4 linked regions of the Tamandua tetradactyla genome follow. The protein of the gene in region 4 purifies or fractionates together with the protein of the main gene of each other region. This does not show direct contact. Links are inferred from orthologs where the notes say so. Each region holds a gene or a part of one and is shown on either strand. Other genes may lie near its edges. The genes, in order: CTTNBP2NL, SIKE1, SLMAP and STK26.

What was found.
Region 1: the proteins of STK26 (region 4) and CTTNBP2NL purify together in Homo sapiens (affinity purification with mass spectrometry; 4 studies listed by BioGRID and IntAct, with this or other methods). This does not show direct contact. The link is inferred for Tamandua tetradactyla from reciprocal best matches to the Homo sapiens genes STK26 and CTTNBP2NL.
Region 2: the proteins of STK26 (region 4) and SIKE1 purify together in Homo sapiens (affinity purification with mass spectrometry; 4 studies listed by BioGRID and IntAct, with this or other methods). This does not show direct contact. The link is inferred for Tamandua tetradactyla from reciprocal best matches to the Homo sapiens genes STK26 and SIKE1.
Region 3: the proteins of STK26 (region 4) and SLMAP purify together in Homo sapiens (affinity purification with mass spectrometry; 5 studies listed by BioGRID and IntAct, with this or other methods). This does not show direct contact. The link is inferred for Tamandua tetradactyla from reciprocal best matches to the Homo sapiens genes STK26 and SLMAP.

Annotation. Positions count from the first base shown.
Region 1 is NC_135337.1:9,694,828-9,702,368, forward strand, and holds the start of CTTNBP2NL (CTTNBP2 N-terminal-like protein), read right to left. Parts: upstream 3,192-7,541; 5' UTR 2,934-3,191; intron 2,459-2,933; exon of another isoform or gene 1,986-2,458; intron 1,262-1,985; exon of another isoform or gene 1,081-1,261; intron 1-1,080. UniProt on the Homo sapiens protein: Regulates lamellipodial actin dynamics in a CTTN-dependent manner. Associates with core striatin-interacting phosphatase and kinase (STRIPAK) complex to form CTTNBP2NL-STRIPAK complexes.
Region 2 is NC_135337.1:6,543,579-6,551,641, reverse strand, and holds the start of SIKE1 (suppressor of IKBKE 1), read right to left. Parts: upstream 3,117-8,063; 5' UTR 3,029-3,116; coding exon 2,870-3,028; intron 2,641-2,869; coding exon 2,535-2,640; intron 1,647-2,534; coding exon 1,504-1,646; intron 298-1,503; coding exon 184-297; intron 1-183.
Region 3 is NC_135341.1:27,188,740-27,196,382, forward strand, and holds the start of SLMAP (sarcolemmal membrane-associated protein), read right to left. Parts: upstream 3,012-7,643; 5' UTR 3,010-3,011; coding exon 2,812-3,009; intron 1-2,811. UniProt on the Homo sapiens protein: Associates with the striatin-interacting phosphatase and kinase (STRIPAK) core complex, forming the extended (SIKE1:SLMAP)STRIPAK complex.
Region 4 is NC_135353.1:30,555,560-30,563,455, forward strand, and holds the start of STK26 (serine/threonine-protein kinase 26), read right to left. Parts: upstream 3,256-7,896; 5' UTR 3,135-3,255; coding exon 3,133-3,134; intron 1-3,132. UniProt on the Homo sapiens protein: Serine/threonine-protein kinase that acts as a mediator of cell growth. Modulates apoptosis. In association with STK24 negatively regulates Golgi reorientation in polarized cell migration upon RHO activation.

The sequences.
Region 1 (7,541 bases), on a different chromosome or scaffold from region 4:
CTTGGGTCAACAACCACAGACTAGACAGATTTCCTCTAGAAATAAATCTCTGCTTCTTGTCTCCTGCCACCAAACACCACTCTAACCCACACAGAAAAGCCAAAAATTCCAATCCTGTTCCGCAAACTGGCAGTACTGCAAACCTGATTCTACCAACACATAAATCTATTGTGGACTGAGCATGTCATGACAACCATAATTAACCTATACGATTGAATTCAGAGACCCTATACTATTCTGTGCCCCATTCATATATTTAGTACCACTTTAGTAAAGCACAAAGTCAATTCAAAATCCATTAAAAAATCCCAAAGTAGATCAGTAACTTGTGAAAACCAAGCACTTGGAAACCATTTTTAATAAAAAAATGAGCAGCCAATCAATTCCTAGTGTGCTCCCTAAATTCACTTTATTCCTATTAGGTCAAATTCTTAGAAAAAAATAAACAAAAATCCTGAAATAACTAGCATTGATGACACTCATCAGTCTGGTTCAAATTTCATGACAGCAAAATTATATCATCTAACTACCAGATATTTTGTTATGGATCATTCGTATATTTTAGAGTCACTTAATATATGGGAACATCATAGATATCAGTTAGAGAAAATAAATTTAAATCAAGGCAAAAAGTGGGTTATTTATACCAATAAGATGTGCCGTATCTTATCAGTGCATTTTCTTTCTAGTTTACCCTAAGGTGACGACATCAAAGTTCAATGAACATCTATTGAGTCATATCCTAGATACTGTGAAAGATATAAAGATAAAAAAAAAAGTATAGACACTGTGAAAGATATAAAGATAAAAAAAAAGTATCTCCCCTCAACGAATTTATAATAGATTTTACATAAATAGATATATCTAGATTATACACACCTAAAAAGTTTCTGCTTGTCTATATCTAACATGACCAATCAGGTGTTGGGAAAAGTTAGAGGAAAGATTTCCAAGCCCCAAAAGTGTATCAAACAGGTCTTGCTTACTGTACCAAATAATCAAGGAGCATTATTTGCTTTTACTTCTCTGCTTATTATGGCCCTGGCAAGCACCAAAACTTTAGTTTCCTTAGTCTCTTACCTTAGTTATTTTCTGTTCTGTGCTCATGTAATAAGATATATCTTTCTTGTATTTCCTGTTCTGCTTTTAGATTTTTCTGCAGTTATTGCTGGGGACCCAAGCTTTATCCTCCTATAGCAGTACACTTTCAGTGTTTGCTGGGGAGACTACAGTTTCTTCTTTGTGCTTTCGTACTGGAGATCTGTGAACAATCACCGAACAGATCTGTGAGCACCGAGAGTGGCCCAGAAACCTTCCAACCTTAACTAGTCAAAGTAATTACCATCAGGAAGTTAAAGACAACAGCTATCACAATCACCTTCTGTGATTCCAACTCCTTGTAGTTTATTGCTATTAAGTTTGACAATAGATAACAGTAATGAAGGGAACTTCAGAATGAAAGCAAAAGAAACACCATGGTAATTTTTAATATATGGAACTGCTATGCACAGATGATTACTGGGGATTCTATGGCATTAAAATCATCAATACTTTGCACCTGCTGAAATGAAGGTCAACTTGACAAAGGCTACACTACAGAGGCACTTTCTGGTATTTACACGTGTGAACAGGTGGAGTTTATCTTGTCTTTATTTACCTTTATCTCTGAGATTTTAAAATTGCTTTACTTTTCATCCTCTAAATGTTGGTAGATGATACTGGTCTTGGAAAACCAGTCAGCACATTATAAATGTATTATTTTCCCCTGGGGGAAAAAATATCCATTACAAAACAAAGTAATTGAGAGAGTAACCAAAAGCCACAGGACCAGATTAATCATAAACCTAGACAACTGAACCTGAATTTTCTTCAATCACTTCCTGCCTTTTGTTTCAAGGTTAAACTGCAGTCTCCCTGAGCAACAGAACTGCCCACCCTAGAATGAGAGAGACTCATATCTAATTCAGTGCTATTTATTTACTTACCTATACTGCTTCATTTTAAAACATGCTGTTATCCACCGACTTCTCACTCAATGCACACTGAATTCCTACCCAGAGAAGGCCAACTCGGAGAATATCCAACACACCCACCCCACTGAAATATAAGGGGATGGCTTTTCATCAGGTTCTCAGGGAAGAAATAGGGTGGAAGGCAAAAGTGAACACAACACAACTCAGATCTAAAAACCCTTAGAAGCTGGATTCTCCCTCACGGAATGGTGAACAGAGGAAGGTACAAAGGCTGAAAGGGGGAGGGGTACTATTTCTCCTTCCTCCGGAGTCTAAAAAAAGTCCATCTTTGCTCCCGGAGCAGGGGCGCTCTCAAGCCCTTGCCCCCACCCCCACCCAGAGGATGGGGGATGGGAAGAGCTGAAGCGGGGGTGGGGGTGGGGGGGCGCTTCTTTTGTACAGCTGGCCGTGTAGGTTGGGTCTTTGATTTTTGCTTCTCCCATCCCTCTTTTTTGGGGGTGGGGTAGGGTGGGGGGATACTGGTTTTATCTTACGGATGAAACCAGCTCTGGTTCTGTCCTAGCGGGCAGGGACAGGTGTAAGGGGGGATGTCTGGCCTCCCGGGAGTACAAAATGGGGGGTGGGGGCGGTAGCCCAAAGAATGGGAACCTGAGAGCCCTCCTACAAGGCGGAGGCGCTGGGCGAGAGGGGCCTGTAAATGAGGGTATCAGGAGAGAAGCACCTTCCGAGGAGACGGGAATTGACGGAGGACAATAAAGTAGCTGAGGGGACCCTCGAAGGATGAGGAGCCGCCTCCTCAGGGAATACCGGGAGGTGAAGGAGACGGCCCCGCCCCCTCCAGGGATGGGCGCTAGCGGCAGTTGAGACGACGGCGGGAGGATACGGTGATCCTACTCTCGCTTTTCTCTCGAGAACCCGCGCTCCCAGCAATCGCCAAGGCCCGACCCTAGCTGCTCTTACCTTTTGCCGGCGCTCTGGGATCGGCTCCCCGCCGCCTCCGCCACCCGCTCCGCATCCACAGCCCCCGAGGCTCCTCCCCTTCAACCACTAGGCGGGGGTATTGGCATTCATCCGGGCCAATCACCACCTCGCCTCTCCAACCCTGCCACCAATCCGCGCCGTTTGGAGGAGGGGCTTCTCAAATGTCATTTAGGCTCCTCCCGGGGCCCCAAGATCCCTTTTGTTTGGAGAGAGCCCGGCTAGGATTGAGCGCGCGTCACTTCCGGTGGGAAGCTCGCTCCTCCGGCCCGGGCGCCAGGGAAGCTCGAGTCCCTCCCCGCCTGGAGTGTGCAACTTTCCACCTTTAGTCAGGTTATCGGGCGGGACCGGGGCGAGCGCCTCACACTTTGCGGTGACGGTACGGGAAGCTTAGGAATGCCGAGCTTCTTGTGTTTGGATTTTGATTTTATCCAAAATGTTAAAAAAAGAAAAAGAGGTGAGCTTGGGTGTGTTATAGAATTCGTTGTTGAAAACCTGGTTACGTGGCTTCCCTTCTCCCTCTGGTTTTTCTTGAACGCGCCTGTGGGTGGGTGTGGTGCTAGCAGCAAGGCGGAGAAGATGAGATACCAGGAGACTGCAATACTTGCAGAAGAGAATGCCTGCTCTCGAGACCCTAGGGCGGGACCCAGGATGGCATCAGGAAGGGCATAGCCCAACCGACCTGCCTTGCGGGCTTCTTTATACACCACGGGCAGGGTGGGGGTGGATGGTGGACGGCAGGCAGTAGACGAATGATTGCTTACTTGTGTGTCAAGCTTTTCCACACTAGCCTTGTCACGTGAGGGGACATTCCTGCGGGATCCTCTGGCGTCGCAGCCCCCATTATACTGTGGGGGCACTGGCGTTTGCAATGAAGCTGGAGCAAAGGACGATGTAGAGGATACAAGGAAGATCCGCCCCTCTTGAGCACGAGGAACACAGACCTTGGCGGTGGCAGCAAACTCCAAGCAGAACCAAGTAACCCAGACGGAGGGGGATAGGATGATGTAGACCTAGTTGCACCTGAGGTCAAAGTTTCTGGGATCCTTTTTCATAGACTGCACTCCATTTCACAGATTGATTCAGCTGATTAAAACCATAACACCCACTACATTATCTTAAATACGATATAACAAATAATACAATTAGATAGTTATATTGAAAAAATGCCTTGATACATTATTTCTGATCTTAATAATTATAATTATGCAAGCAGATGCATCTCCTCACTTAAACAGTTTACAGGTTGGTGGAGGGATGTGATCAGTCTGCAATCACTTGGAGGTTGGAGGGAAGTAAACCAGTATTTAGCATGTCACTGTGAGAGCTAAGCCAGAGGAAAAGGCCAGGACGGAAGGTGCCACCACAGAGAATCAACATCTCAAGACCGGGACTTTCAGTCATCACTATGCCAGGTTCTTTCACATAACGTTATCTTATTTAATCTTCACTAATATATTAAATCTATCCGACCCTGTAAGGCAGATAGCCATCTTTGTGTCCATTTTTCTTTCCTTTTTTTTTTTTGCATGGGCAGGCACCTGGAATCGAACTGGGGTCTCCAGCATGGCAGGCGAGAACTCTGCCACTAAGCCACTGTTGCACCATCCCTTTGTGCCCATTTCACAGACGAGAAAACAGAGATTCAGAGAAATTAAGTAAGGCGACAGAGCTAATAAATGGTAAAAAAAAAACTTCAAACCAAGGATGTTTGACTCTTAACACCTATACCACATTCTGTTCACTGCCCATTGGCTCTCAGGAGGAGGCTTTACCCAGAAAATGGGCATGGATGCCTATAAAGCCACCGTTGGAGCCAGAAAAACAGCTTCATGTTTCCCCCTATTGATTGTAGCTTTGGGAGAGTCATCTCTATATATGAAGAACAGCAAGACTATGGAATGAGGTGCTTAACCGCAGCCTGCGTGCTTTTGGCATAGGGGATACAGAACTTCAGAAAGATGTGTTCAGGAGACTGACAGGCAAGATAAGCCAGGCACATAGTAAGTGCTCAATAAACACTGATGACTTGAAATGGTGAGGGGATACAGAACTTCAGAAAGATGTGTTCAGGAGACTGACAGGCAAGATAAGCCAGGCACATAGTAAGTGCTCAATAAACACTGATGACTTGAAATGGTGAAAAACACAACTTTAGGTGCTGGAATAGGTCCACAAATTTGAAAAGTCCTATTTCCTCCTCCTCCCTTTTGCTCTGCCCATGAGTATGCAATGAGGAAGTGCCTCATTGCTTGACCATGAGGCAGATGTGGAAGAAAGGCTATTTTCTGCTAGCTTCTGAGTCACTCGAAGAGTTGTCCTAGTGAATCAGCCCCTCCCACCTCCCCTCCTTCCTTATGTAGCTTTAACTCCCCCACCCATTCCATTCCCAGGCCGACGGGGTGGGAGCAGTGCCCTATGGCCTACTACTTGCCTTACAGCAATTGACTGGGCTCTCTCTAGCTCATTCCTAAGTGTGGGAGGACCCAGCAAGAATGAGATCGGCCCTGGCCTGTAGGATTCAGAGTCCTGAGAGTGTTAGATTGCTTTCCTTTTAATTCATCACCCCTGGAGGTAGTGAACAAGAAGGCTTGTGACCCTTGCCTTCGGCAGCACTAGGAGATAGTTCTGGAGTTTGATGAGTCTTCAAGATATACAACTTGTAAATAAATTAAGAGTCTGGGGCAAAGGTATACTTGGTGGCAAGGTGAACTGGGTTAATAATGTCTTAAATCTGTACAATACAATATTTAAATATCTGTTATTTTATTAACTTAGCACCTGCTTACTACCATCTATTGTCTGTCAGGTAACAATTCAGTAAAGAAGTGCTACAAGATTGTAGATTGTGTCAGCTTTCCTCCAAATAGGTAAACTTCCAGAGTTGGTGTTGTATGAATTTGCTGATTTGGGGAGGCAACGATGGGGTAAAAGAGGGCTAGACTGGAAGTAAAAAAAGTCGTGAGTTCTAGTTCTCACACTATCACAGTCCTACTTGGCAAAGTAACCTCTGCACTTAACTCCATGTAATCTCACTGATAAATAGCGTGAAAATAACGGACTAATTTCTAAAGATCATCTCAGTGTTTTGAGTATATGATAATTGTATATACTAGATATCATTTATCAAGCTTTATTATATGCCAGGCATTAAGGAATTTGTTCTACATATTATATCCTTTAATTCTTAAATAATTCCATGAGATAGATGTTAATATTCCTATTTTACAGTGAGGAAATTGAGGCACAAAGAGATCTGTAATCATGGTATTAATAAGTGCTGGACATAGCTTTTTACTCAACTCTGACTCCGAAGTACAACCTCTTCATTTCCATGTCCTGTGGTCTCTCTGTCATGTGTAATGGGTTAAGAAGAAAGGGAATGCAACAGATATCATTAAAATGTGATCGATGGAATATTTGCAGTTGAGTAGCAGTCTTCCTGGAGTTCTGAGTATAGTTTGGACTGATTTTAAAACAAGGGAAAGCAAGAGAGGAGGTGATAGCAGGTGACATCGAAGTTTTATGAAGGAAGAGGAGAGCTTTGGGTGTTTAACTGAATCTTGGTTTCCTTATTTGTAAAATGGGATTATAGCCTCTGTCTGCAACACTAGGTGGTTGTGAATATACAAGTGGGATGATGTATATGAAAGGATTTGGTAAATTGTATGAGGGATTACTGTAATTTGCTTAGGAGACCTAGCTCAAGCACTTTATCTTCCCTTTAGCCAACGTCCCTTCAGCCAACTCTATAAGGTTCCTTCTGTGACCCAGTGGCACTTTCTAAGCTAAATGAGTTAGATGTAGAGGTGGGAGCAATGAGAAAAGGGACCTGGCCTGACTTCCCTATTTTTCTTTCTCAAGGAACCACCCAGCACCCACACTGAGGTGAGAGTGTAGAAACCAGAAAGGACTCTTTATCCCAGGACCAGGTTGAACTGGAGAGATGGTGCGCTCTCCACTGCTCCCTGCATTTTCTCCCATCATTTGTCCCTACGGAGTCTTTTCTGAATAGTCCTTGAACATTGTCTTCTTGCTTGGATACACCGGTCCTGGAAGACTTGGGCACAGGGGTGAGTTTGGAGATTTATGGGTGTGGCCCCAAATGTGTGTCTGAGTTTATAGCTCCCCCTAGTGCTGAGTTATGAGTCCTGCAGCTGTTAGCTCTCCTTTTGGCCATCTCCTTGGCCCTCTAGGGAGACATCCCAGACTGCACATTTTCTCCCTTTTTGGAGTGTGGGCTGAGAGCATAGCAGGTAGGGGTCTACAAGGGATCGCAGTTCAAACAGCCACCTTCAGGGACAGACTATTTTGGGTTTTTTTAGCTAAAATTCTGGGCCAGCTTGGCCATGTGGAGCTGAGAAAACTTTGCCCTAGCCTGTAAGGGAGAGATCTAGGAGAGAGAGGGAAAAAAAGTCTAACATTGAGTGACTGCTTAGTGCTTTACATATATTATCTAATTTAATCCTTGCAACCATCCTGTGAGGTAATTATTATTGCTTCTAGGTTTTAGATGAGTAAGCGAGTTCAGAGAGGCTGAGTGTCTGGCCCAAGGTCACCTCATAGTGGTAACAATGATAGCCACAGATC
Region 2 (8,063 bases), on a different chromosome or scaffold from region 4:
TGTTATTGGTATTTTCATTATATGCTGCTGACTGATTTCCTTTCTTAAGAGAAGTTTTAATTTTAAATCCTGAGTACACAAAAAACAGCAATACATTGCAGTGACATGATAGTGCTGACATACCTTCCAGACTCCATGAAAACTCCCTGAAATATTGTGAAGCTAAAGGAGCAACAATCTTACCTCTAATTGGGCTAGTTTTTCCTGAATCTTACAAAACTGGTCATCATCTACCTGAACAGCTTTCCTCATCACTTCTCCCATTTCACAGATTCTGTCAATCTGACTCTCAATTTCCTGTGAAGATATTAAGAAAAAAAATAGGTGAAAAAATAACCTTTTCTATAGATATGAAGATCATGATGGGCAAGGGTGCATTATGATTTTTAAAAGTTCATTTAATCTATGCTATAGGAGTTATATTGCTATTTCACTATAATCTGAGTCCTTGGAGATAAAGCCATAATGAAGTAGCCTTACGATGTTCAAAAACAATTTTTGTTTTCAAAAGATCAATTCTAGTCTCACCACCCTTTGGATGTTAGAAAAAGCTGTTTAATCTAAATTTGAACACTTATTGATGGGAAACTTACCACATTCCAGGGTGCCATTTTCCATCTTTGGACATCTTTCTTAGATAGCTTTTCTATATCAGCTAAACTCTGTCTCATTCAAGTCTCAATGAATTGGTCCTAGTTTTCTCCTCCAGATCAGAGACAATTTATTTTCCTTTTCCATATGGAAGACATTCATATATTTAAATAGGCTATTCCCATTTCCTGAGACTTTTAAAAGTCAGTAAAATGTTTTCAGTGGAATCTAAGATGAAACTTAACTTTTACTAAATTGCACTGTAACAAACAGTGGAGCTCCAATCTATTAAGCCAAGATTAAATAATCTAGTATATGTGAATATACTATGATAATTATAAAACACTCTACAAATATAAGAACAATTACTGAGTCTCTCTAATTAAATCATAAGTATTCTAAGTCTAGAAACTATGTTACATATATTTTTTTAAGACAACACTACTGCCTTGTAACAACCTTGTATGATGCTATGTAGTTCAGTTTAAAAAAGGTTTATGACTGCCTGTTGTGTGCAAGGTATTATGCTAGAGGTAAAAGATGAATTCATAATTCATATTCCTTACAATCAAGGAGCTTACAGTTTGGAGAGATATTCAACCAAGTGTTTACTGAGCACCCTCAATGCTAAATGGCACTGTGGTGGAAGAGCTAAGCATTCATTAACACCTTGATAGGAGATCTTGGGGTAGGGGAACCTTCACCCCACTCAAATAAAGGATCTAAGTTGCCTTGCCCCTTTATCCCCTTCTTTTCATTCATCTTTTCAAGGCCATAGCAAAATAAACAGTGGATGTGATGAACATTAGTGGAAAACAAGACTACATTTTCTTCTAAAACAAGCCCCAAATTTAAAACAATTTCTAGATTTCAGTTCAGTTCATTTAGAATTTACTCATCAAAGTTTCTTACTGCAGAGTGGGACTGGTGAGCTTTGAGGACTGGTTCAGCATCCACTGCTTTCTTAGCAACCATTAACTGTAACATCTGTTTCCGGTACTTGCTCATGATGAGTTCCAAGGCATCTTGGTGTTCCTCCAAGGAAACCCATAGCTCTATCAAAAAGTAAAATAATTTGGCAGTGAAGACCCAGTGATAGTTCCCAAAGCCAATCTGTTAACAGGTGGAATTTTCCATAATTTTATGACAATCTGTAAAATAATGTGAATCCAAAGCTGTAAATCAATGATTAAGTCCACAAAACTGAACAGCTAAGGTCTATGTGAAAAATAACTTCCTAGGCAGACAGCATCATTTAATAGAAGAAATACAGGATGTGGAATCAAAAGACATAGGTTTGAGTTCAGTTCCATGACTAATTAGTTTAATAATCTCAGGCAAACCATTTAAGATCTGAGCCTATTTATTATGTGCAATCTTCTAATAATAAACACCTGGCTTGCCAACCTCAAAATGAAGACATAAGAACACAATATGATATAGGTTAAAGCACTCTGTAAACTGATAGACACACTATTAATATTACTATCGTTAATAATGTACTCATTAAGTCCAAAAATACATAAGTGAAGATAAAATTTTTTCTTCCACTTTGCACAAGATAAAAAATTTCAATTTTAATATTAATGTATATTCAATTGATATTTAAATCTTAAATTTTAAGTCCTTGATGGTAACTCTTTCGTCAGGCAAGCCTCCGTCCGGGGTGTCTAAAAAAATCATGCAATATTTCAATTCTATTAGGCATCTCTTTGCTGAGCTGTGTGTACATACAAAATCAGTCAGATGACCTCGAAAAATTTAATCTAACAAACTTTATTGTTACTGGGCCTGCACACGGGGTAACTCTTCTATTAAAGGTATCGACCTGGAAATACATATAGGATATGCACTTTTGTGAACAGTTAAGACAGTTCTGCAAAAACTTTTGAACCGTTGCTGGATATGAAAAAGTCATAACTACACAAAAAGGTCCGACTAACCTCTGTTTTCCTGTTGCAAGTCTCTAATCTGTGTGTTCTCTTGGGACAGCAGAACGTGTGGTTTGTATTTGGACACGTCCTTCATATCGGATGCATCCTCTTGACACTGGACAGAGACAGACAGACTAAGTGCGCCGAAAACAGGGGCAGATGCGACTGAAGGAAGAGGCAGGCGTCAGAGGACCGGGAGAGTATTCTCAGCCCCGACTCCAGAGAAGTCTTTCTCCCACCCTCCTGAGAAGGGGAACAAATTCCACGCCGGGTTCCCACTTTTCCTAGCCCTCCACCCTCAAGTGTCCAGAACCCGAGGACATGACTCCCATCCTCTGCCTGACCTGGTCCGGAAGCGCTGTCCCAGCCTCCCGCATAGCTGCCACCCGCCGGTGCAGCGCCGCCGACTGATCCACCAGCGATTCGGCGGCCGCATCGTGCTCCCGCAGCCTCTCCAGCAGCGTTTTGGCATCTGTCAGGATCTTCTCGATCGTGCAGCTCATAGCGGCTGCACGACCCGCGTATCAGGCCCTGCTCACCAACGCGATTCGCTCAGTTGTTGCCGGAAGCACTTTCTGCCTTGAGGCGTCACTTCCGGGCACGTTTCGCAGGCGTCTGCGCACTGGCGTTGTCCGCGCCCGGACCGGTTTCAGCCTGCGGCTTCTCGGAAACTCCGCCCTGAGCGGAGCCACGCCCTTGATTTCCTGTTCTCTCAGCTCGGTGGCCTGATTGAATTGTGGCTGAGCGGCTCCGGTTTTTCTCCATATATATGTATATTCTGTTTCAATTCAGTTAATAAGTTGAAAGTAAATTTAGCCAAAACAACAATGACTTTTGTATTGTTACATTGGTTAATAAGAGTTTTCCTTGTCAAGCTTGTATGTCTTTGTTCTTTTTCATTCATTAATAACTATTTTTGGAGAGCCTTTTCTGGTCCAGACACTGTTTTGTCCTGGAAATGCAGCAGGGAATAAGACACAAGGTCTCTGCCCTTAGGGAGATTATTTTCTAATGAGAGAAAGAATTTATACTCTAATGAATATTTTAAGGCAGTGACAGGATGATGAAGGAGTCTGATGAAGGAGTGTCAGAGTGCTAGAGGTCAGAGAAGCAGGGGGAAAGGAACTGGGCTTTTGGTCTTTGTGTTCACAGCAGCTGCCACATTGTTTGTTGAAGGGAACATGGGGAACAAGCTCAACAGAAATAACAAATCAGGGTCACTGACCAACAGGAAGACAATTAATGCACTCTGCAGAGATTTCATTCATTCATTAAAACAACAAAATGCAGAGATTTCGTTCATTCATTAAAACAAAAAGACGTTCCCTAACTGATCTCTTTTCATGCGTTTGGCTTTGACTTCAAATGGTTCTCAAATCCATCTCTGTAGCACAAATCTCTTTCATGAACTGGATTATTCCACAGGGACAACCTACAGGCATCACAAATTCAGCATGTACTAGAAGTGATCTGATTATCTTTGCCTCCAAATTTGCTTGGCCATCATTTCAGTAGAGCACATTCATGCATCATTTCCCCAAAAACAGAATCCTGGACGTTATCCTTCATTCTTCCCACTTACTTACTCTTCATATTTAATCTGTTTCAAAGGCAGTGTATCTCCTTTGTATCTTTAGGACATATTTGCTTCTTTGCATTCTCATTACTCCTGGGTGGTTCAGGCCATCATCTTTTCTCACCCAGGTCTAAGGATGGTCTTCCATCTGGTCTTTTCCCAACCTCAGGTCATCTACTCTGATAGCTCTCCCTAACCGACACCACAACCTCTGCTACTTCTTACAGTGGAGGATAATTATTCTATGTCCTATCCACTTTAGGGTTGACAACTAGACTGGTAGTTTTACTTCCTGAATGATACTTCTAAGCACTTATTCTCTCATGTTGTGTAAAATCTCTTTATTTGATGTTTATATCCCACAGATGAAGAATCTTCTGTCGCTCCTCTCTGTTGTTAATTACTGACCTTCTATCTTGGGTATTCTTCTTTATTCCTAGAAGATTTTAGGAGTTGGCTTATGGTCTTTTTAATTATGCCATATTTTGCTCTCATGTGAGTGACATCCATGTCCATGTGGACAACTCATCTAATGCTGTGTCTTTTCTTGATCTTCTGATTTGTAGAGATGTTTATTTTGGCTTAATGTGGCCACATTCTGGATCATTTTCCAAGAATTGTCCTGTGTAGAAATTTTAGGGTTTAATGATTAACTCTTTGACTATAGCTTTTCTGTCTGTCCAGTTCTTGCAACCTTATCTCCCACTACCATTTCATTTACTTCATCCAGCTCTTCAGTTTCTGAATCTATCCATATTCACTCTACCTGCATTAATCAGAGTTCTACAGAGAAATACACCTGACAGGATATATAGATATAAAATATTAAGAAAATTGAGGAACTGCTCATGTGACCATGGAAATTGAGAAGTCTGAATTCTGAAGGGCAGGCTGCAAGTTGGAAACTTGGTGACTATGAAGTTGAATTCCCCAGGAGAAACGGGGTAGCTGAAGCAGAGATAGAAATTCTTCTTTCTGACTTCTGAAATCCTCAGTTCTTACTTTAAGGCCTCCAACTTATTGGATGAAGAGACTTATCTCATTACTGAAGAGAATCTCCTTTGTTGATTGTGGATGTAATCAGCTATTGACGCAATCAACTAACCAATAATCTAAATCCATCTTCAAAATCCCTTAAAGTAACAATCAGGCCAGTGTTTACTTGACCAAACAACTGGACACCATAACTTAGCCAAGTTGACACATGAAATTAACCATCATCCTACCTATCAGCCTCTTCTAATGGTCTAATTTTCCTTCCCTCACCAAACTGGACCCTTGTGATTGGTAGTCTGAACCATGATTCAATTAGTGGGTAAAAAAGAATGCAGCAATAGGGTGCATTTTTATTCCTGTTTTTGTTTTTACGAGAAAGTCTTGAGCATGTTTTTAGGCTTTGTAGGGGAAGGAGCCATTAGGGAAAGTGATACAAGAGAGTAGGGAGACAATGGAAGGAGCAAGGACCAGGAGGAGATGGGACAGGGTAGTTAAACACTTGCTGAATATTGAATAAAACAATGGGATTCCAGATCAGGAATACAGGTGAAGCAGCTGGATTTGAACAGAATGAGGGACATTTCATTCTCCATAATTGGAGGGGAAAAGAATAGGTACAAATATGAATAAGCTTCAAGATGTGGCAGCATGAAGTTGAAAGTTTTAACCTTTGAGCCATTTTCAGTCTTCCACAGCCCACCCACCAATAAACCAATAAGTTAAGCTTGGGTACTTTATTTTTTTGACTGCTTGTTGTATTTTAATGTGTATATAAGACAATTACACCTAACATTGTTATGAATAAAAGAAATCACATCAGTCATCAAGGGCTCCTGAATGAACAACATTTTCTTAACTTCTATGTTTATCATCTTTACTTTCTAGGTATAATTTAATAAGATCATCAATTTGAAGAATAGTAATTGCAACTTCTGTTGCAAACTTCAAACTCTTTATATTAACTATAGTAGGTTCACCCCTGCTTGTTTATTGATTGAGGTTTACAAGCCCAGATACTTTTAATATTGTTTGTGGAAACCACACAAATTACCCAAGATCTTTGATTTTTCTGGCTTATTTCTACTATGATCTGATATCCCACATGGCCCCTATTTTTTGGTTCCATTTCTCTCTATTATCTCTTTCTTGCCCTTTGGCCATTTAAAAAGTGAAACCAAAAGAGGTTCTACTCTCTTCTCCTACATGCATAGAGGTTAAAAACAAACAAAACCTATGATGGATTTCTTAAACAAATAATTTAGTCTCATTCAAATTAATAGGAGAGAATCCAATAGCAGGCATTTTGGGTATTCCATCTGTAGCACAATGGGTGGTCCTACTTATGAAACCAAAATTACCTCCTACTGGGCTAGTTGCAGGACCTTGAAGCTACTTCTTGGAAAGAGTGGAAGGAGCAGTTCAGTCCAACCCCAAACTCCGATTAACAATGGTAGAATAAGTGCAGTAGCTGTGCCTGTCTTTTAATGAATTGGTTATTTGTTTATTTTTTAAACATTTCTTCATTCAATCTGTTGGTACTTATCTGGTGTGCCCCAAATTTTTCATGAGTATGCTACCAAATTTTGATATGTAAGTAGACATGTGCAGATTTACTTTTACTAAACAAGATATGCAAAGACATTCTAGCTTATTTGTTTTCTATAAGTAATCTGTATTTTCTGGCAAGCCCCCATTCCCATCCTACTAGGAGCTATGGGGAAAAACCCAGCTTTTGGTTGAGTCTGATAAACTCAGTATGGTCTAATTATTTAACAGTTCTTCCGAGTTCCACTGAACTTCAGTTCTTCTACTGCCCTGTAGATTTCTATTTCTGTCTGAATTTCATTCTGCATATAAAGGACTCTAGTAATAGGGTCATGACCTATCCTGATTGGGCTGGGTTACACCTTAACTGAAGTAATCACATCAAAAGGTCCTACTTACAATGCGTTTGCCTCCATAGGAATAGATTAGATCAAAGCACATGTTTTTCTGGGGTACATACAGCTTCACACCACCAAAACAAGTATTTTTTAATAAAGAAGACCTGCATTTAGAAGTCTAGAAATCTGGAATTTCATTATTCAGCATTATAAGAGAAAGCAGCACTGAGGAGTTCAAATTTTACAAGAAAAAAGAAATGATAAATAATATATAATACAATAATACAAATTTTACTAGAAAAAAATAAAAAATAATACATCTGTACTTCCTACAGCCCCAAATGGGAAGCGTGACAAAACACAATTCTACTTTGGACTTCAATCTAGGACTTTAAGTCAGAGAAGGGGGTCAGACCTATATGCGCTTGTGTCTTCTCACAATCTTTCAATTGTGAGAAGATTTTTCATTTGCCTTTTCTCCCAATCCACACAGACAAAAAGGACAAACACTTTCTTTCCACTTCCTTTCAGTCCTGGATACTTCCCAGATATTCTCTTCCTCCTTTCCTGGGGCTGTAAAAAGCATGGAAAGAGATACCACCAAATTGATTAGGAAACATAAATTAGAGATATTACTTGTAAATGTAACATTTGATATTTAATTATGGAGTTGTCAGCAGAAACATGGAGCTAAGTAGATTATGAATCCCAGTGTGGTATAGTGTACAGATTGATTTAAGAGGCAAAGTGAAGTACCAAGCTGACCCCAAAGGTTCCTGAGTCTTCAATACAACCTGGATTAAGGCTGTAAATGGTTCACTTCATAACAGGGGCCCACCTAAATGCATAGGCATTGAGTTTTAAGAACCCAAAAGACTTGTCACTTCTGCCTTGATCCTGTCTGATTTGATGTGTTTCTGCAGTACAGAAACATACATTCAACACTGTAGTAGGTCTCATTTTATCAAATGAAGAGCTACATTATAGTAGATTCTTGGAATTTTAAGGTTTAGCATTCATGATCTTTGAGCATTCCCAGGTGATTATGATGGTCTGTGATGTTTGACAACCTATAATTTCACT
Region 3 (7,643 bases), on a different chromosome or scaffold from region 4:
AAGAAAATTACTTCTACATAAGTCATCATACGAAAAAAAAATTTCTCATTACCTTCCTAAGAGTCCACAGCACTACGGCAAATTGCAAAGAGCTGCCTAGATGGTTACTTCTCTCTACCAACACCCTTCACCTTAAGTACTGAGCCCTTAACAAGGGCCAGGTACCGAGTGCTAAATGATTTGCTTGATTATCTCAATCCTCAAAACAACAGTAGGTACTATTATTATTCCCAGATGAGAGAACTGTGGATTGGAATTTTAAAAAAAAAAATGCCTAAAGAGACGCTTATAGAAGGAAGATTATTCTATTACACAAAGGAATTTGTGGGGAAATTATATTAGACTGGGGACTTAGTTATCATAATCTTTTGTTACAAGACAATTATGGCAGAAATCCCCAAACTGGATTTCACACAGAGAAAACAATAAATATATGGTCAAACTATGGGTTTGCTTTGGAACAGTGTGCTTCCTAGTACCTGACACATACTAGATGCTCAATAAAAACCTGCTGTCTGACCAAACCTAGATTTAAATACTTAATCTTAAAACAATCCGATTACATGGCAAGATCTGAATGGTCATTTGTTCTAATTAGATTGGGTGGTACAAGAATCAATAATGATAGCTACACCTAAAGTAATGACCCTATATGTTAGGTAGAATCTGGTTTAAAAAGGAGGGGGCCCGGGTACAGGGTAGGTCAGTGGTAGAATTCTTGCCTGCTATGCAGGAGACGCAGGTTCTATTTCCAGCCTATGCACTTCCCTAAAACAAACACACAAACAAACAAACACAGATTCAACAAACAGTGCTGCAATAACAGGATACTCACACAGAAAAAGAATGAAATGTGATCCCCACCATACAGCATGCAAAAAAAAAGGGAGTCAGGTGCATGGGTAGTTCAGTGGTATAATTCTCCCCTGCCATGCAGGAGACCCTTCCAAGCCCATGCACCCTTCCCCCCAAAAAATAAAAATATAAATAAAAAGCTGGGGGGACAAAAGTGAAAATGGTAGAACTAAACCAAGGGTATCCTATAAAGATAAATTATTCTAATAACAAATTCTATTCAAAATGTTAATGTCATCTCAATTCATACTAAACACTATTCATACATTCTTAGTCATTTCAAAATAAGTTATTGTGAGGGTTTTAGCATAGCTATGGAAAGCACTGTTCATGTAATAATTATTTCTCAAGTAAAAGAAAAATTCTGAGTCTCCTCAGAATCAAAGTAAAGAAGGTGCATTTGCAGAGTATGCACTTGGGCAAACCAGTTATTTGATTAGGCTGGACCTTAACTGTTGCCCAGGGACACAAAAAAGTAGAAACTAGTTGAATTAAGGCACTGGTAATTAACTGATGTTTTAATTAGAATGCCGGAAAAATAGGTTCTATGAATATATATTTTAAAGAATTATGGGTAATCAGTCTATGAAGTCTCTGAGACACCCAAACCTTAGCCTCTAGGGAGAAAAAAGGATCTGTTCCACAGGTATTTTCTGGTGTTATACAGAAAAATTAACATACTTCTCAGACATCATCCTACATACAGAGTAAGGTACAAGTATTGTGCAAGCACACAGCACTTAGGCAATCTTTTCCTCCTTTCTCAAAAAAATTAATTTATATAACTTCATAAGTTAATAAATGCAGAGGATTTATGCTTTTCTTTTCCTTTAACACTCAGGTTTCTTTAATTTAAAAACACTACTCTTAAAGATTTCTTTTAAATCAGTCTTCTTTTAAAAAAGGCAATCATTTAACTCAGAGAGAGGGGGCAAAAAGTCAGAAGGTGAGACATTCCTATTAATCTTACATAACTTAGTTTAAGTTGGAACTGACTCAGTAGCTCATCTAAAACCTGAGGTTTAAGCACAAAGATGAGCTCTTGAGTATACTGACCACACACATAAAGTTTTAAAAATTGAGAGGCTAGCTTGATTTTTTTCTTGGATTGTTAAAATATAAACACCTGTAAGTTTAGTAACTTAGGGTACTAACCTAAAAATGCTAAAATGGTTACTCTTAAAATGAAGAGCACTGGATTCATCCTATCACATTAGACAATGTAATAATTCATAGAATTGAACACAATTTCAGAAAATAAAGTTCATTTCCTAACTCTGATTTTTAAACAGCACCTCTGTGAGTATGCATTAGATACATTTAATTGAGGAACAAGTGCTATAGGGAACATCGAGATATGATTTTCAAAAAACAATCGGTAATAAAAAAAGCAATAGGCACATGTTCACCTAATGCATAAACAAAACTGAAAATGTCAAGTAATACTTGTTCATGCTTAACTAAACCGGTTCTGAATATTACAAATTACCCTTCCATGGGTAAACATGTATCAAACCTTTCAAAAATTTAAGTTTCCACAAGCAGTTGTCCTTACCTGAAAGGCCCTGATCAGAAATCAACTAACAGCTACATGTAAACTACACATCTCACCAGTGAGACACTTGAGCCCCAGGGTAATACTGGCTACAAATTCCCCACATTGTTCTGGGAACTGCAAATTCACCTTTCAGAAAAGACTGAAAGGGAGAGGCCAAGTTTCACTATCTAGTTTTCCTAAACGAATGAGGGTTGAGATTTCACTAGGAATGACCATCTTATCAAGTGCCATCACCCTCCCAAGACATTTAATTACAATACTTTCTCTGTTCTCCATTCAATTAAATTTCCATTAGAACAGAGTAGTAGATTCCATAGCCTTGTTGCACACATTACATCTCTCACAGAGGGCAAAAGGAAACAAAAAGTAAAGATAGTTAGACAACGTGGTGACATTACCTTGCCCGTCTTGTGATCAAACCAGACGAGAGCATGGTTCCTTGACAGCACTTTGCAATCAAAGGTGGCATTATTCTGCGCAGGTCGACAGCGGGCCACAGAGCGGCCGATTTTGATGGGCTCGTCCAGGTAGACATGACGCTCCTGAAACGGATGCGAGTTCGGGCGGCAAGTGAAGATGGCCAAGGCTGACGGCATCGAGGACAGACTGGAGGTGTCTCTCCTATTAGACACGAAGAGGAGTTCCTCCGAATCCGGACTACCCTTCACAAGCCTATACTCCTATCCCCCCCAAAATTTTAAATTAAAACAAACTGCGTATTGTCTAAGCATAACCAGTGACAACAACTCTTCACTTGGATGGAAGACAAGCCAGCACCAGCCCCATCACCGCCCTTATCACAAAAAGTCCCCAACTAGCAGCTTTTAGTCCATCTTCTTCCCCGGGAAGAAAAGGCTCAAACATGGGTCAGTTTCGGCCAAGAAAACTCCTGGAAGACAGTTTGGGGACTGAAGGTATCCAAGCAGATGAGTCACACACCAATTCTTGTGTTTTGTTTGGGATCGCGGCCGTTTTACCCCCTCAGTGGCGGAAATGTTGCAGCACTGCAGCATGAAGGAAGGGTCGGTTCGGTGTGGCCAGGAAGGTCCCTCCGGGCCCAAGGAAGGTGTAGTTGAGCACCTCTGGATTGCCACTGTCCGTGCACGAGGGCCGAGAGGACGAGGGCTGAGAAGCCGGGAGGTGGCGAGGGATCTAAGAGGCCAGCGGAACAGTGTGCATTGCCCCTGCTCAGCGGAGGTCGCCCCAGGAGGGAGTGCGGGGTCCCCAGCCGGGCACGAGCCGGGGCGGTGGCTGAGGTCCTTGCTGCGAGGAGCGGGGGCGCGGGAAGCGGTCGGGCCCGGGCTCCCCGGCACCTGGTGGTGGGCGTCCCAGCGACTAGGGCGGGGATCTGGCTCCGCAGGCTGGTGCGGACCCAGCGAGGCGCAACCCAGCGACCCCAGGAACGTTCGGGGGTCCCGGCCGGCGGGAAGTTGGTCCCTAGACGCCTGGACTCCTGGCCGCCGCTCAGCGCACGGGCCGCCTCCCTTCAGGGTCGCCTCCGCGAGGGTCGCATCGCAGGGACGGCAGCCGCAGCTTCGGGCGGGCGAGGAGGTGGGGGAGGGAGGCTGGCCGTGGGGTTGGGGGAGAGGCCTGGAGGCCCCAGGCTGGGTCCACCGCAGCCTCCACTACTCGCGGCCAGTGGGGCACGCTCAGGATGTGCCCGAAGAAGCAGGAAACTTTCCGACCTGGTGGGGGAAACATCAAAACAAACGGCCGTCAGGCGCCGGTGCCCGCCCGCCTCAGCCCTAGGCTTTCTGAGCCCGCCCCCCGCAGTCCCCGAGACCAGTCACGACCTCGGCCGGCCTCTTCGCGGACAGGCTCCGGGGGACTGTAGCCCAGATGTCTCGACCGGTCCTGCCTCCCCCGCCGCCAAGGCCGTCTCAGCTTACCTTGCCAGCACCGGCCGCCATAGTGACTCTGACTGAAACCTACCGGGTGCACCGTCGCGGGAGCGCGCACCCTTCAAGGGCCCTCCTACCCCCTCTCTCGCGCCGTACACCGGGAATGTCACATGATCGACGCCAATGCGGCCATATTGGTAGAAGGCAAAGAAGAGGGCAGGCTAATTTTTAACGCGACTTAGAGGCCATCTTAATTTAGGGCAGGAAGCTTCAAACTACGGGACAGCTTTGACGAACCATTTTTGTTAAGGGCAAGGAAGAATTTGCGGGTTGAAGGTTTTTCAAAAAAAGTATCAACGGTCTACTTTAGTTTCTTAATAAGAAGACACGAAATTTTACTAAATATCATTTGCTATAGCTCTCACTGAAAATACCAACGAACAAAGAGAACAGGCCCATCCTAAATGGCTGTTCACGAGCAACCATTTTAGCTGTGGGCAACACCGACCCCACCGCCAGGCTCCCACAAGTTTCAGGATTTGTGCATCTAACATCATAAGGGCCGCCCTCCCCTGCCAAAGTCTTCGCTATGTTCCTTGCTCTGAGAAAAACTCTTCCTTATTCCCCACATTCTGTTTCGAATTCTTATTCTCGGCGCTGGACCTGTAAAAACCCTTCCGGCTTTAATGCGGATTCTCCCTCCAGAGGAGTGAGACTTGAGAAAGTTTAAAATCACGTTGCTTTCCGAGAATAACTATTCGAATAATTAGCAATATGATAAAAGAGGATATTGCTCACTAACAATATTAAGGTAGATGAGGAGGCATTGATCTAAAGAAAGAATGACTTTGCAAAATCTAAACGACAACTTTGTGATGGTAGGAAAAAGTCTTAGTTCGCTTAGATTCTAAGGTGACTTCATTCTTCAGATTCCTGTGATAACAAGCTCCACCAAAGTGTGACCATGGGCAAGTTTCTAAAGCTCTTCAAGCCTTGTTTTTTATAACATAGATATATTAATACTTAACTCACATACTTTTGTGAGAATTCAAGATAAAGAATAACTATTATTCATTTGAATATTTTTAGAGGGTTTTGACCCCATGAGTTGAGCCATGGAGACACACAGGTCAACAAAACTGGAGATCCCTGTCCTCAGAGAGCACACCCGGTATTGTAAAGTAAGATGGGGAGGGTTGACAAACACAGGTACAGGTAACTTCATTTTAATGACGTTACTCAGGTAACTCACTGAGTGCCCCTGGGGTCAGGGAAGGCCTTCTGGAGTAGATAATTGAACTGAAGGAAGGAAGGTGGAAAAACCACAATTAATATGGTATTTGCTGATTGGATTCATAGATTTCCAGGAAAAGGTAACAACAAGAGGAGGAACAAAGCTATTTGAAAACAGTATGCCAATGTACTGGCTCAATAAATATTTGATGCATGAATGAAAATTATATACTTTTTACTCAATATTAGAAGACAGAGTAGGAGTGGCACAAAGTGAGTCCCAAGAGAAAAATAGGCGTTAGGTTATAAAGACTTTGTGTAATTTTCTAAAGATCTTCATCACTTCAGCAAATATGTATTGAAATTTTAGTATATCCCAGATACTTTATTCTGTAGATAATAGGGATATGTTGGAAAGTTTTCATTCCCTGATAATCTTTAGGCTTATATGGAATAACATGATAGAACTCTCCAGAAAATCTTGAGCTCTGTGCATGAATTTATGTCTGTCTTTTATGCATCCTTTCATTCATTCATTATATAAATATTTAATTAAATTATGCCTAGTTTGAGGCAGATAACTTTGGAAGGCCCCCAGGATACAACAATGAAGGGAAGGAAAAAAGAAACCTTTTTCTCTAGCTGCTCATAAATTAGGTGATGACACGATAAGATCCTCGCTGTAATGGAGTACATCAGATTAATGGGAGTGGGCGGGCCATGGTGGCTCAGCAGGCAGAGTTCTCCCCTACCATGCCGGAGACCCGAGTTCAATTCCCGGTGCCTGCCTATGCCACAAAAAAAAAAAAAGAAAGAAGGAGGAATAACTGTTTAAACTGAAACTGGTAGTAGCACAATGAAGAAAATTTAGGTCAAAACAAAAACATTATCAATAAAGGCCCAGAGAGTTGAGAAATCAGGAGTTCAAGGAAATTACAGTAGGTCTGTGTTACTGGAGCATAAAGGGCAAAGTTGGGGAGGACCATAGTGTGGATTCAGGCACTGAAGACCATTGTAGGTAATGCAACAGAGTTTAGAACATTTCCCTCTTTCTCCTGCAAGGTCAAAGTGGAGTAAGGAAAGTCAAGGTTTCAGAATCAGTTATGCATGTCATGACCATTAGCCAGCAATATTATCTTTGATAAATTATTTACCTCTCAGTTTCCCCATCTGGAAAAAATGAAATAACATCAGAGAGGGTGTAAGAGTAGTTTTTGGGGTGCAGGGGTAGTTCAGTGGTAGAATTCTCCCCTGCCATGTGGGAGACCCCGGTTCGATTCCCAGTCCATGCACTTACCAAAATACAAACAAGCAGAACAAACAAACAAACAAAACTCAACAAATGGTACTGCAATAACAGGATACTCACATGGAAAAATAATGAAATGTGACCCCACCATACAGTATATGAAAAAAAAGTAATTAACATCAGAGTTTTAGGATTAAAGATGATAATGAATGATGCCTGGAAAATAGCAGATACTCAGTGAATGTTAGTTTTTATTATTATTGCTATTAGTAAAAATTCCCCTCAATTTTCCACATACAGTAAGGAGCAAGTTGTATTATCCCTAACATGTACATGAAGAAACATGATCATAAATGTGAAAAAAAAGTGTCTGTTTATTTACATTTCTGTATGCAATATCTCTTAAAGTTAATGCTAAGCAAATAGGATAGACTTTCTTCTGCAAGAAATTCTGTAACTCTTATAACCTAGCAGAATAAAGACTCCTACCAAGATATACAGGGTACTAGAAATTTAAAAATGGCAGTGAAGGCATTCCTCACCCACTGGTAGGCTGGCTCAGAAAAGTCTGAAATTAATAAATTGCATACGTAAGATATTTTGAATTCTAAGCTATGTGGGTGTTACTCTGTGATTTTACATCCACACAAATTTTTAATTAAATAAGAAACATTTTGAGAAGTTTGGAATGACAATTTTTCCCAATGTTGTGGGTTTCTCTACCTTTTTAAAATTTTTACCTTTGTATAGATTGAAAAATACTACTACTGCTATAAATCAGGCTACTTTTCAATCTTTGATAAGTAAACAGAAAGTTGTAAAATTATTGTCTTGTTGCCATGAAAGACTTGCAATTATTAGTATTTAAAATGTATAGGAAACAATCCTGTAAACTCATTTAGTATGC
Region 4 (7,896 bases):
AGAAACAGAAAGACACGAAAAGAGATGGCCTGGGCAAGGCAATTATCTAATTAAAGCATTATCCTTTTTTTTTCTCCTCCAAATGTGTATGTGTGTGTGCATGTGTATTGAACAAAAGGTGGTGATATATATTAAGGGGAAATACAGAAATAAATGCAGTTAGGGCCAAATACAAAGTCATCATAAGACTAGAAATCAACTAATCTTGATACTGAAAAAGATTCACTCTGAGAGGTAGTTTATTGTGTTTTCATGTTAAGAGCATGAACTGCAGAGCTAGACTACTTAGGTTCAAATCTTAGTTTTGTCTACATACTAGCTCTATGATCTCTAGTAAGGGATTTAGCTACTCTGTGCCTCAGTTCCATCACCTGTCAAATAGGGATACTAAAAGTACATAACTTAAGTTGATGTAAGGGCCTAACTATGTGTTACCCTTTCTTTAGGCTTTTATTGAAGTATGGCACACATACAGAAAGCTGCACAAAGTCATAAGTGTAGAATAGCTCATTTTTCACAAAGTTAAAACATTCATGTATCCATCCACCAGATCAAGAAAGAGAACATTACCTGCTTGCCAGAAGTCATCTGATGCTCTCATTCAATCACTGCCTTCTCCAGCCCAAAGGTTTCCACTTCCCTATCTTCAGACATCATAGATTCATATTGCCTAACTTTGAACTTTAAATGAGGATCTGCATAAACTGTTTAGAATAGTGTCTGGCATGCAGTAAACTCCAAATAAGCCTGGTAATGTGATTTTAACAATAACAAAAAAATAATAAAATAAGAAGTCAATTTGTGAGGTAAAGCTTATGGCAATAAAGTTAAAGGTAACCTGCCTATTTAAAAAAAAATGATGAGTTCTTGAAAACATTTTGCTTCCATAAGTTAAATCTACTCTGTATTCCATACTAAGAAAACTACATTCCGTTTGAGACATCAGAAAAAAACATATGCCCAAGCATTTCAGCATGATCCAGAATTTTATTCAAAGTTTGCTTAAAAAAAAAAAAAGAAAAATTAACAGATGAAAAACAAGTTTGGCTGAAACTTCTCTAGGCCTCAGTCTCCTCATTGTAAAATGAAGAGAATTGGATCATCTCTAAGATTCTTACCAGCGCTGACATTTAATGATTCTATGAAAACATTTCTTACAAAGTAAAATCTGGAATTTTCTGAAGCTTTATTTTATAGCTAAATAATAAATCTAGAGTCACAGTTAAACATGACCTTTCAGAGGAAAAACAGCAGGGATTCTGTGAGGGAATAGCATGTCTAGTGCTCTTTAGGAGAGTAAATAACATATGGGCAAGGAAGAACCAGGGGATGGAATATATAGAGACTTTTTCAAAAGTCTTTGGCAAGCTTCCATGCTGTTGACTTTGGTTGTTGTTGCTTAATGAGTCCCTATGAGATTTGGGGAAACAATTTGTCATAGAAGGAGCGCTAACTCACAGAAGGAAATGAAGGATAGGAATGTGTGGGTGCTTCTCTGGATGGAGAAGTGTCAGTATTAAGGTTTCCATGATCCCAGGCTTAGATAACTGTTACAAGTGGTGTGAAAGAAGGTCTACACAGTGGTAAGAGCTACTAAGCTCTTCTCAGTAGTGAAATGCCAAACTGACGTAAGGACAAATGGCAAGAAAGTCTCTCAAAACTGGAAAAGAACAATAGAACATCTCCGCAAGGTAATGCATCCACAGAAAAAATATATACAAACTATACATGTTTGATAATAATCTCTGTTGCTCCCAAAAGGGAAGCTAGGAGTTGTAAGTTATTTCTGGAACAATTTCACCTCACTGTGCCATTTTTGGCCAGAAAGGCCAACAAAATGCTGTGCATGATTAGAAAACAGACTAGAAACAATATAACACATTATTCTATTTTGGGGGAAAAAAATTAAATCCTGGTGCAGCCACATCTGGAATACAACACTTAATTCAGGAAGCCACAAATCAGCAAAGCCAAAATGGAACTAAAGGTGGTGTAATGATGGGCCCTGAGAATGTGTGAATGAGAAGGTGCTAGACTGAGCCACATTCAAGGTGTTAAGATTCTTTTAACACAATACGATGAAGATAGAGGCAACAGCCAGAGTTACTACTGCTGCTACTTACCACTTATTTAGTGTGCACTCTGGGTCTGTTACAGGACCAAGTGCTTTTTGTGTATCAAATCCTGTAATACCTGTGAACCCCTATGAGATAGGTCCCCACTATTAGCCTTATTTTAAAAGTATCCTGAAGGGTATGGACAGAGTAAATAGCAACCAAAGCTATTAACTGGCTAGAACTCAGCACAGACCTTAAAACTCAAGAGTCAAATCCAAGGCAATCAACAGGAAGTGAGACTTTATATAGTGGACAGTAAAACCTGTGGAACTCACCACCTTCAAGCAGCAGTACAAATTAAGCTGTAAAGAGCACCAAGAAAGATTTAGGCTACATTTGCAAAAGATAAAACCAAGATAACCTGCTAAGAGAATCTTGCTAAGTGTCTTAAACTTTTTCTTTTTTCAATTTGCATGGGCAGGCACCTGGAATCAAACCCAGGTCTCCGGCAGGGCAGGTGAGAACTCTGCCTGCCGAGCCACCGTGGCCCGCTCTAAGTGTCTTAACTTTTGAGGTTGTCATTAAGGAGAACAACCACACCCTCTCCGCTCCCATTGCCAACATGATTCCGAGTCCCCCTCTAAAAATTCTTGGCTGCCTGGACCAGAAATTTGGTCCAGCGTGGCTTTTCCTTTTTAATTATGACAAAAATAGGGGAATGGTATTTGAATTCCTTGTGGGTAATTCAAGATGGTTGCAATTTGTACTATACTTGAATCCCTTTTAATGATAGCCTAAATTACACAGAATCCTATTTAAAGTGCTGTGCTCTTTAGAAACGAATTTTTTTTTACGAGTGACTTGTGGAAGAATGGATTGCCACAAAGATAGCAGGTAGAGGAATTCCCCTACAGCATCCATCATCTGGTCAAGCATTTACTTGCAGTTAGTTCATGTACATCTTTCTTAAAGAAGTTACATTTCGGAGAGAATACATTTTCATGCACAGAAAATTAGTTTAAAAGAGAATCCCTGTATAAAACCCGAAACTTGGACACCTCCCATGAAAACTTACATAGCAGCTTCTCTGTCACATCAGTCCTCACGAGACCTAAGGATGGATTCATCCAGTGTTGCTCAGAGCTTCTTCTGTCTTGTCGGTGTGACGCTGCTGGTTTACACAAAATGCACCGGTACCCACCCTTGGCTGGATGACCTGTACCTTAATTGAAACACTGTATGTGTTCTGGGCATGCCACAGAAAAGAAACAGAGAAGGAAAGAAAGGCTAGGAGTGAACATCTAGTTCACAGAGAACTAGCCTTATCTGTGGGGAGGAAGTATGTAAAAAAACAAAAAAATACTCGAGAGCCAAGAAACGGGAAGGGGAAAGGGATAAATGGAAAGATATGATCTTTCCTTAGATACATTAAGAATTCTTTAAAAAGGGAGATAAGACTAAATGTGGGTTTAAACAGTCACATGGGTAATTGGGTCATGAGTAAATCGGTGAAGTTGGCCACTTGTTTGAACATCACTACTTTTCATGACAGAGGTTCTGCTTTCTCCTCACACCCCCACTCCAATCTGTTTCCTCTCATTGCTGAAAGCCCATCTCTGCAACTAGGCATGAATCTGGTACTCCCCCAGGCCCTGATTCTGGGCCATTCTCACCTCCTTTGATCAAAATGTATCTGTGTTCTGCCCATTTTGATACCTTGGCCTGAGAACATTGCCATTTTAATAGGGAATAAGTTAATACTTACTCAATATGGCCCTCTACTCCTAGTTGTAAGTGGAGATATTTTGGGAGCAGAGATCTTCTCACACCCTCAAATAAGTTTAGGTAAAAAGCCAGCAGAATTTGCCTCAGCCAAGTGACCAGTTTCAGTTTCCTCACCTGTAAAATGGAGGAAATAATACATTTAATTTCCATCACTGTATATTCACACATCCTCACACCCATCCTCTTAAATAAGGATTATTACTCCCACTTTACAGACAAGGGAACTGAAGCTCAATGAAGTGAAATAGCATAGTCCAGGATATTATGTGAAAGAACTAGTGTATGAGGAGAGGAGTCTACTAGCTAAGATAGGAAGTTGACATGCAGTTAAAAAAGCTCCTAGGACATGGTGCCTGACATAGGAGCCACGTGGCTGTGTGGAGGCAATATGGAATCCAGGCTGTGAGTATGGACTTGGAGTACCAGAAACCTAGGTATGAATCCTGGCTCTGCCCCTTATTTCCTGGCATTCGTTGGGCAACTCACCTTCTCCAAGTTTACATTTACTTATTTGGAAGATGGGCATGATAATGCCTCTCTTATAGAGCTGTCGTTCGGATTAGCTAACACAGTGAGTGTAATGTGCTTAGTACAATGTGGAGCACGTGCGAAACAGGCAAAAATGTGGAAGCTACTGGAATGATTATTAGTAGTAATACTTTGCACACATGTTAGCCTAGAACATGGTGTTTGCTGGGCAGAAGGTAGCGTTAGCTACCAGTCTACTAGTTATCTACTAGTTGCTAGACTGTAGGCAACCAGAGGCAAACATAGTTAATGCAAGTTAAAAAAGAGAAGGCTGAATGCTCTTCAGACAGCACCACTGAAGGCTATCCAGGGCTAGGCTGCACGTTCCTTAGAATAGTGTTTCTCAAACTTAAAGGGTATATCAGCATCACCTGGAGGGAAGTTAAAAGACGGAGGGCTGGCCCGACTTCTAAAGTTTCCAATTCAGTAGATCTGGGGCAGGCTCAAAGTACTTGCATTTCTAACAAGTTCCTGGGTAAATACTGATGCTGCTGGTATGGGGACCCCACTTTAAGAATCACTGCCTTAGGAAAAAGAATCCCAGATCTTTAATTCCTGCCCAGTTCTAGGCATCAGAGTTTCCTTGCTTTAGTTTTCTCTTTCTTTCTTAGTAAAAGTCTACTTGAAAAATGCCAACCCTGTTTTGAGAGAACAGAGGGATTTGTCCATAACTGAGCCAGGAGATTAGGGGTAGGGTGGTGGTAGCCATTGCTCCAGCTACAAGGCTTGAGGAGAGGCCCCAGAGCAGAACAAATATCAAAACTGAGATGGAAAGACTTGGAGATAGCTGTGATTACTGAGCCTTTTCCAGCTTGGATTTTCCCTCAAGCAAGAGTTTTCTTGCTTGAGCTTTTTATCCCTTTACAACACTATCACTATATCTTGGGGGAGGGAGGAAGGAGTTACTACATTTTCTTTCTGCACTTTTCATACTCCCCTTTTCACTCTCTGCCAGCCACAAGGCCAACACGAACCTCTTGGAGAGCCCAGAGCAGCGTGAACAGATTACGGAAACCTGAGCAAAACCCCGAATGAAATTAGATGTCTTTCTTGAAGTAAAATATGTGCTCCATGCTCTTCGTGATGTTACAGCAAATTCGAAAACCAAGGGCTGGATTCCAAGTCACCACCTGGCAGCTGTCAGTGAACTAAGCCTCCGCTACCTGTTAAACACAGTTAATGAAGCAGTCTGTGTTTACGAATTAGGGGATTTGTCTTTGAAAATAGTGACCCAATAGAATGAGAAAAGATAGATAGCCTTGGGTTTAGATTTCTGGATTAGAAATCATCTGTCTCATGAATTTTAAGGGATAAAAGAACATGTGGTCTAACTTATTAATGAAAATGTATATTGATACTGCAAATGCTAGGAAATGGAAACACCAATATGGATAAGAATGGATATTTCTTAGGTTCTCGAGCCAGAGATACTTTGGCTTATGAGTTCTAGAGACGGTGTCTGGGCCTGTTCAGTGCCATTAGGCTATTAGGTACCTGTACCAACCTGCCCACACTACATGAAAACACGCCTCCTTAACGCTTTCAGAATTTATGGCTTCTGTCCCAAACCATTCACCCCAGCTCATTTCATACCCGATTTCCTAATTCTTCCTCAGTCTGTTCTAATTTCTGACCTCCTCACTCATTTTTCCTCTCACTGTCTTGCCTCACTCACCCTGGGGCCTGGCACGTGGTATTACTTCTCCAACTTGAACCCTTTGTAGCCTTCTTTGGCCAATAATCAGGTTCGCCCACTTGGCTACACTGTTGTCGGCTGCCATGGGTCAACCTGGTCCCCGGAACCTAACACCATCATACAAACCCTCATGGGAAGTGGCCCTCCCTGGCACACCCAGTCCTAGGAGCAGAACTCAGACTTGAGAGCTTTATGACTCCTTGATACTGCTGTCCGAAAGAACAACCCCCCCCCCAAAAAAAAAAAGCAAAGGAAGGAATTTGATTGCCCAATCACTATACACAGAAGAGCCAACTGAACTTTTATATTGTCTAAAGTATAGTATACATAACTATATACTGTTAATAGTTCTTCTCAGATTTGAAATTTTGTTCATTTCTTCCTCTCCTTCATATCTATCTCCTCTCAGCAGCCCACCCCTCTGATTGATTGTCAAGATTTATGATTTCTACCTCCATAATGTCACTTGAACCCATCATTCTCTTGCCTGAGCTGTTTGCAATTGTATCCTAATAACTGGTCTCTCTATAGCTAGTGTCTCTTCTTTCCCCACCTTACTCCCCCATGCCCCTTATCCCCTGCCAAGCCATTCTCCATATAGCTGCCAGAACAATCTTTCTAAAACATGGATATGTTCATGTTATTACTCCCTATCTTAGTATTTTTCATTCCCAGGTATGCATCAGATTATTTTAAATATGATTTTGGTTTTTAAGAAGAGACACTTCTAATTATAGCAATAATAATGATCTGCTACTTTAGAGTGCTTTAGAGTACTTTATTGTGCTTTAAAGTGTTTTCACAGCTATTAGTAATACATTAGAATGATTCACATATTATTATCTCTATATTCAAGCAGAGATGGTATCTTTTATTTATACTGAAGTATACAGAATGAGTAGTAGATATTAAAAATCAAATATATTGATCTAATTGGCTATGTAGTTGATAAATTAGGTACTCCTAAAGGAAATTCAGATTCACACTCAATTTCTTAATTCTTCATTTCCAGAGAATGAATTTGCTAAGTATTATTCTGATGCTGATCTATCTCAGTTGTTTAGAGCATGCAATTACTGAGGTCAGGGTTGGTAGTTGAACTCCCATTTGTTTAAGTTGGCCTCATTTGATTTCATGTATATCGCCTGTAACCCTAACTTCAGACAGCCATCTCACAGTTGCAGATCCCAACTGAGCTGTATAAGAGATTACATGAAATTACAGAAATTACCATGACTCCATCCCTATTACTTGAAAACTCAAATATCATAGTAGCTCTGTAGCATTATGTTAGCAGTTAGACAAATGTTTAGCAACAATTATCTAAACAAAGAGACAGCTTGACTCTCTAATGTGGTCCTTTGAGAACCCTGAAGAATTCTTCATAAGTATCTCATTCCTAATCATACAATTCCAGTCTAATAGTATTAAGCTCCATCTCAACTGATGATATAGGTAACAATTACTAATGTAAATTTACATGTGTCCTGTAATATTTCCACATAGTAATTTCTATATTCTCAAATGAATAAGGAAATGTTGTACATATAATACTACCTTTCGCATTCATGGAGATGTGGTGAGTGTCAGGTCCAATCTTACGTGCAGGTGGCATTACAAATTGCCTCTGTGGTAGAATCGGCAAGACCCTTGACCTGAAATTTTCAGATTCCCTCCTATTTACTCGGCATTAAGATGAGTCCATTGTTAAATGCAATTACTTCTGAAACGAGTAATAAATCATTAACAGTCATTAGCACCTAGGTATGAGTTAATTTATTAGATTCCTTCCACCTAATACTGAGTACCTTGTGGAAGACACTGGACTGA